2 linked regions of the Arabidopsis thaliana genome follow. The protein of the gene in region 1 interacts with the protein of each later gene in a pairwise test. Each region holds a gene or a part of one and is shown in the gene's direction. Other genes may lie near its edges.

Region 1 (3,839 bases):
CCTAACTTGTCTCCGAATGCGATTTCTTTATATTCATTGAATTGTAAATTTGCGACGTCTAGATTGTGATCTCTTGAATGACAATGGTATTGAAGAACTAAACCGGGACCAAGCTCGTTTCTAATTAGAACTTTATTTTTTGGACATGGGAACATGTCAAATGCTACATTCAATCCAAAATATGTTACAACAACAAACATAAAAATTATAAAACGATTCATTTAAGAGTAATTTGAGACTCCAGTTTGAATTTGATGACATCAATAATGCATTATATATAGTTATTAGTGTGTTAGTATTTTCTTATGGCCTTAACTAAAATTAGTTAAATTGAAACACAAACATGAATTATTAATATATAGGTATTGCCGAAAAAAGTATGGTTGACCAATCCCAATGGATTCAACCTTACAAATCATAGGTGATCCACAAACATCTAACTAAAACCAAAATATTTAAGATATAACAAAAAAATCTTGCAAGTGTACTATTTTAACAGGACAAGTGTATCTTGTAATACGGAAGATTTCGAAAATTTGAACTCCCGATTTCAACATAACAAAATAACATCTGTCCTCGGGCCTATACAGGCCCAGTAAGTCTAACGATAAATGAGCCTTAATGGACTAGATTTAAAACTTTATAAAGGGGCCAAGGCGTTCACAAACCCAACAGTAGGTACAGAAGGCTCCTGGTAATAACTGAAAAGCAACGCAACCACATAGCAAAGACAAGTTACTTGATCCAAGAGAGCTGTTTCCTTTGTGTGATGTTGTTCGATTTTGACCTCAGTGTTTATGAATTCCTGAGTAAGATCTAGTCTTTAACTTCCCCACCTTGGATACTGTATTCACGAATGAGCATGTTTTTGTTCCTTGGGAGATTCCATAATTGGTCTGATGCATATAGACATGTGTTTTTTTTTTTTGGTGTCATATGTGCGCTGTGAATCTTGTGATATTTTAGAATCTAAAAAATATACACGCACAAGAAAAGCTTACGACCACATATATCAATGGGTTCCAGTTTAAAAATTTGGTGAGTATTATTAAGAGAGTCGGAGAAGAAATATTTGAGCGTGGTTAAAATATTAAGAAAAGGAAGAGACATGGAGACGATGTCTCAATTAAGGGGGCAAGCCTCTCTGGCCAATTACAGAGAAAAGGGCCCTTTTAGATTCTCTTCAAGATCTTCTTTTTTTTTTTCTTGTTTTTTTTGGTATAAATCACACATTTACTACAAAAATGCACTTATAATATTTAGTGTCAACTCATAATTGCTAAAACATTTCTCTCGTGTTTTCCATAGCAAGGTGCCAAAAACGAATTGATCAAGAAAAGTAAATGTTTTACATTAGTTACTATAGAATTTAGATCATGGTTTGTTTAAGATTTAGAACTTGGTGTAGGAACTAATAATTCCCTCGTGATATATGACAAATTGACAATGACATTCACCGTTACGAAGGATCGAATTTTGTCAAGAAAAAATATTTTCTAAACTATGGTATGAAGACAATATACATATACTACTCATTACTCTTGAATTTTATTTTTGTTTTTCCTTTGTAGACTACTCATTACTCTTTAGATTGAGATATCAATTAGAAACATACAAATCACACACAAAATAGTGGGAAACGGCAAAGGAGAGAATTTGTTGGCGGAAAATTGTCCACAACATTACAAATGAGTAAAGGTCACACAAAAGAGATCCTTTTTTCTCATATGGCAGCGCCATGAAAATGGTCACATGGAATGCTTTTTTGGTAAATTTTCTTTTCTCTTTTGCTTATTTCACTCTCTGAGTGCTTTTTTCCCTTTCTCTGCTTACCTTTAAAATAAAATAAAACCACATGAATTCTACCGCAACCACTTGAAACAAAAGATTCAACATCACCCTTTATTTCTCAACTTATCAAAAATATATATATCAATCGTCTATATTCTTTGACCTTTGGAGTTACAATGTATAAACATAGAAAATATATTTGCATCGCTCAGCATTTTGACTATTAAAGGGCATAATTTTGGAGCTTCATGCCAAGGCAAAAAGATAAAGAACAATCACATGAATGACAAAAGATTAAAAACAAAAGATTTTTAACTAATGAAAAAAAACACAAAAAACAAATACCGGTAAATAAGGGCAAAAGTGGAATTAAGTGTTATAGCTCCGCTGGCGATTGGCAGAGATATAAAAACTGATCTCTCTCCATTCATCTTCTCTTGTTTCTAACTAGTCACATTGAGAGAGAGAGAGAGAGAAAGAGAGACTCTCAGAATCTGAAGAAGAAGAAGAGATTGTTGTTTTTGCCTTTTATCATCGGTTTCTTTGAATCTCTGGTTTTAAATCGGATTTAATGGTGGAGTCTCTGTTCCCGAGCATCGAAAACACAGGTGAATCGTCTCGAAGAAAGAAGCCGAGGATATCAGAGACGGCGGAGGCGGAGATAGAGGCACGACGTGTCAACGAAGAAAGCTTGAAGAGATGGAAAACGAATCGTGTGCAACAGATCTACGCTTGTAAGCTCGTCGAAGCTTTACGCCGAGTTCGTCAGAGATCTTCCACCACCAGCAACAACGAGACCGATAAACTCGTCTCCGGCGCGGCGAGGGAGATACGTGATACGGCGGATCGAGTTCTAGCTGCGTCCGCTCGTGGTACGACTCGGTGGAGCAGAGCGATTTTAGCGAGTCGCGTCCGAGCGAAGCTGAAGAAACATAGAAAGGCGAAAAAGTCAACGGGAAATTGTAAATCGAGAAAAGGTCTCACGGAGACGAATCGGATTAAGTTACCGGCGGTTGAGAGAAAACTGAAGATTCTTGGCCGTTTGGTTCCTGGTTGCCGGAAAGTCTCTGTACCGAATCTTTTAGATGAAGCGACCGATTACATCGCAGCGTTAGAGATGCAGGTTCGAGCCATGGAGGCTCTCGCCGAACTTTTAACCGCAGCCGCACCACGGACGACGTTGACCGGAACTTAACGGCGGCAGTTAGTTTGTCAGTTGTTAATTAGCTTTTCTTTTACCTTTTTACCCCTTTATTTTGGCTTCAAGTGTTTTTTTTTTCTCGTCGACGCGATTTTAATTTATTAAATTCATGTATTTTATTTGTATACATCATCACTTCTTTTTTTTTGTATCCATTTTGATCTTTCTTTGTTTTTTCGTTAGATAATCAAAGTTATCTAAACAATAACAACAACAAAATGCCAACTAATGTCGATTCCAAAAATTGTTTAACGCTTTAAAAAAAAATTAGACCTACAAATTAAAGAAACTAAAAAGTAAGGAGAAGAACAAATAATTTGCAAGTTGAAGCAATTCAAAAATGAGCATGTGCGTGTAACGTGTTGAGGACACCCACCTTAATTTTGGGGCCAATGGACTCCATGTGATTCTCAAAGACTTTTTCCGACGTTGAAGTTTATGTCGAAAAGTGTATTTTTTGCTCAAAATGCCCTCAAAATCTTTCAAACTGATTAGAAAAAAACATTTACTTGAATGTCAACATTAATTATGATAACAAGGAGTAGCATACGACTCTTCAAGAGAACTGACATTATGAAAAATTGATGATTATGGTATAAAATACAAGTTAGTAAAAGTTAGTTGTCAGAAGAAATCCACTAGGAATAACATTGAAAGAAGTGGTGAGCAAAAAGGACCACAAAAATGGAACCAAAAGAAGAGGAAACAATAAGATTGAGAAATGAGTCTCTTGGAACATCTTTTTTCCCTCTTTAAGACTCCCCACGTGTGCTCTTTCTTTTAACACCCAATATGTCTTTCAAAAGCATTCACACCTTTTTGTTGTATATCAAATTAAATGGCAACA
Region 2 (4,050 bases), 6.4 Mb from region 1:
AACATGTATACATATATACTAATTTCAAACTTTAAAGATACCAAACCATGCAGAATCAAATTATGTCAATACAAGTCTTATAAAAGACAAATACATATTTTCATTATTTAGCTTAAAAAATTAAGAAAATTTTGTAATTTTATTTTGTTTTTAATGAATAAATAGATCAATCTTGTCCTTTTTATTTATGGTCCTCTGTAAACAATGACAGCAACGATGGCAAATAAATAAAGTATTCAGAAGTTAAAATACACACATATATATAGATCAAGACCTATATCTTGTTGACAACGAAAACAAAGAAAGAAGATTAATAGATCAAATCCGAGTTAAAGCAAACATCTACCACATAATAAATGCAATGCAAAATCAACGAACTGAATCCAATCGACAATCAAATGCCTATCTCTGCATCTACCACATGCTACGTACTCAAAATCAGATTTTTATGGAAGGTATTAAAAAAATCAGAGTTGTCAACTGTAATTACATCCAAAACATGATCCGTAATTTGGCTTCAACATTTTTTGGTGTTTTCTTGTACCATATGTCCTACACTCTTTTCATGATATAGACCACCACACTAAAGAAAAATAATAATTAATCTTATAAATGACAGTGATTTTTTTTCTTTTCACGATCATGTATAGGATAACAATCATATTATTTTCAAAAATATTTGGATGTTACATTACATCAAAGGTCAAACATGGATGTGTGAAGAACAAACTTATACATGTTCCAAAACCATTGAATTTCCAAAAAAAATCAATGTAAAAGTTTGAAAGATACAAAAAAAATGGTAAAAAAGAGAGAAGTGATTAAAAAAAGGGACAATGAAGTAATACATATAACGTGGGGATGCAATGGTGGTACTGACAGAGAGAGAAGGCAAAGAGGGACAGTTTAGTTTGGCGATAAACACACATTTTGCCATTTTAAACCCCACTTGATCCCTCTTCTCCTTTCCATGGCCCTCCCCTCCTTTTCTACGTCCCTTTCCCAATTCTTATTTTAATTCTTTGTTTTTTTCTACTTGGATGCGTTGAGCCAAAAATGTTGCAATGAATTAATTCTACTTGGCCCGATTTTGGAAAGCTCTGTAGCTTTGTGGACTGACTTTGATTTGGTTTTGATTTCAGAGAGTGCGGATCAATCCATTGTTATACGTGTTTGGATTTTTTTTTGGGTTTAGCCAAAATCGAACCGAGTGACTTGACTTAAGCATAGTTGTATTTTTTATTATATATATTTTTTTTGGTCCCATCACTAGTCACTGAAAACCTCTACAATATCCCTTAAGATAGGTTCTAATCGTCGTATCATACGACTCGTATGAGACGATACAAACACTCTTTGGTAAAGTATCACTATTGGTTTAGCACTGGATCTTAGTTATTTGATACCCTTTCTATTTAGTTTCAAAATTTGAATTCTCCATGTCACATTCATTATACAAACGTTTTTTGTTGAACAAATTTTACATTCATTCATAAAAACAAAAGAATACATTATCACAAAACATATATAATAAGATAAATTATTAAATAGAATTTTTTTAAAATAGACATACAATAAGACTAGTCGTCTGATATAGACTCTGCACATTATACGGACTTACATTTGTAAACTCCATCAACTCTTATCCATCTATTGTTTAGTCATGTTCAATATTGAGAAAAATTAAAGGAAATTAACATGTAGCCTTTAAATTTTCAATAAAGGTCGTTAAGTTGAAGACTTGAAGTTGATACTACACCATGTGAATAGCTCGAAAGAAAGAAGGTTAAGTGGAACAGGAATAAGAGAAAGAGAGCAAGGAAAAAAACTTGACGTGGGTGAGTTTTACACATATAACAATCAAGAAGTTGTTCTCGTGGGAAAGTAAGTTTAGAAGCTTACCAAAAATAAACAGTATCTTTTTGTACTAAGCGACTATGAAAAAAACTGAGAACAAATAATAATAAATATTTGAAAGCTAAAGACACCCTTATTAAAGAAACATAACCCACACCCTCCCTCCATGCACTTGTCTCTTCTCCTTCTTATTCTTCTTCTTCTTCTTCTTGATCTTCTCTCTCTTCATAAATTTGCATTATAAAAACACATCCACTTTGCTCCTCCCTCTTCAACACCTTCTTCTCCACTCTCATTCTCTCTTTCTGACACATTAACTACTTATCCTTCTTGCATTCTTCTCTCTCTCTACACCCAAACAAACACACTTATAATATATCAAGAAAGAAGATGTCTAGCAGAAGATCATCACGTTCAAGACAGTCAGGAAGCTCAAGAATCTCTGACGATCAGATTTCCGATCTTGTTTCTAAGCTCCAACACCTCATCCCTGAACTTCGCCGCCGCCGTTCTGACAAGGTATACACTTCAAAATAACAAATTTTAATCTATCTTTCTTGCATATACATACTTATTTTGTATACTTGTATAACTTAGCCTGCACATGGACTTAGAAAGTTCAAATGAATAGGAACCATATAGTATATAATAACTAATTAATATGCATGGTGAAATCCAACGGCGTGTAGACATGTGGCCTACAATTAACTATACGTAGATAAAGTAACATTAATTCACAGCCTCATTTATGCATATATCTTGTTTGTTCTTTGAATGTTTTTTTGCAATTAAATTTTACAAGTTGGTGGTGTGGGACTCAGTTTGTTCCCTTCCTACTTCCACGTACCTTAACTACATGTCTCCCCATTACTCTTCTCTACCTATATACTCACCATAATTCTATATATAGCTGAGGAATATGATAAATAAATTGTGGCCGTTTATACCGTTGTGCACATTGAAGTGGCAATCATGAGAAAAAACTAAAGTTCTGTTAAAAGTTTGAAGATATATATGAAATTGTTACAAAGAAAGAAAAAAGGCAGTAGCACATGTTGTCACGTACTCTTTGTAAGGGATATAATGATCGTTTTTTGTACTTTAAAACTAATTGTAAAATGTTTAAACTATTGGACAGGTGTCAGCATCTAAGGTACTACAAGAGACTTGCAACTACATCAGGAACTTACACAGAGAGGTTGATGACCTCAGTGACCGTTTGTCGGAACTCTTGGCTTCGACGGACGACAACAGCGCCGAAGCAGCCATCATTAGGAGCTTGCTTAATTATTAAATCCGCATTACTTAATCTGAGAGCTATTAATCATCCGTTTCCGGCCACCAAATTTATCTTATTATGGGTATCGTCTGTTTACTTCTACATCATATATTATGAGATATAGCTAGGGTTTCGGGTCATTGTTAGGCCAACTCATATATTTATATTTAATATATGGTTATGTATGTATGTATGCATGTTAATTGTATCTGAGGGTCCAGACCTGGCGTATAGTAGCCTGTGTATCATGAGATCCTCTAATATTTATGATTAATGACACGGTCCGTTTCCTTTTTTACTATACTGATCTACTGTTATAAGTTTCGTTTATCATATCTTTTTCTATAATTAACAAGCTGAGGAGATTATCGGTGTATGCTCGAAATTTCTTAGTTGAAGAAATTAAGAACAATATATGTGTATGCCAAATAAATAAGTTATACTTGGAAGTATGTCAATACAATTTTATCAAAAAAAATAAAATGGTATGTATATACAATTTAAAAACGTGGAGAAGTTGTGTCTGAATTTAAATTGTTTAAAATATGATAGAAACAGACGAAGACCTCGATGTTTTCGAAGTCGTTTAGTTTGGATTATCTGTTTTTTAATGTTATCTGTAGTATATGGTATGGTCGTGCCATTTTATTTAAATCCTCTTGCATGTGATCATTAATGTGTTATCTTCGTCGTGTATATTATAACACGTATTGACTCGATAATTACGGTATTAGTGTGGTGTTATTAATGGAGTAGATAATTTATGATTACGTGTTAAAAGTAAAATGTATTGGGATATAAGGTTACATACCTTTTCTTTGAACAGAGAAATTCTTGCGCCTGAAAGTTAAATATAATCATGTACTGTATCAGTTCCCGTTTTTTTTCGGTCATTGATTTTTTTTTTCGGGCAA

Evidence for each region. The genes of interacting proteins can lie anywhere in the genome.
Region 2: the proteins of AT1G09250 (region 1) and KDR interact in a two-hybrid assay, tested with the Arabidopsis thaliana proteins (one large-scale study listed by BioGRID).

The regions. Positions count from the first base shown.
Region 1 is NC_003070.9:2,987,147-2,990,985, forward strand, and holds AT1G09250 (basic helix-loop-helix (bHLH) DNA-binding superfamily protein), read left to right. Parts: upstream 1-1,994; 5' UTR 1,995-2,362; coding exon 2,363-2,986; 3' UTR 2,987-3,281; downstream 3,282-3,839. Other genes in the region: AT1G09245 (Plant self-incompatibility protein S1 family), read right to left, coding at 1-221. UniProt on the Arabidopsis thaliana protein: Atypical bHLH transcription factor probably unable to bind DNA. Negatively regulates brassinosteroid signaling.
Region 2 is NC_003070.9:9,349,324-9,353,373, forward strand, and holds KDR (basic helix-loop-helix (bHLH) DNA-binding superfamily protein), read left to right. Parts: upstream 1-1,836; 5' UTR 1,837-2,247; coding exon 2,248-2,376; intron 2,377-2,995; coding exon 2,996-3,151; 3' UTR 3,152-3,510; downstream 3,511-4,050. UniProt on the Arabidopsis thaliana protein: Atypical and probable non DNA-binding bHLH transcription factor that regulates light-mediated responses in day light conditions by binding and inhibiting the activity of the bHLH transcription factor HFR1, a critical regulator of light signaling and shade avoidance.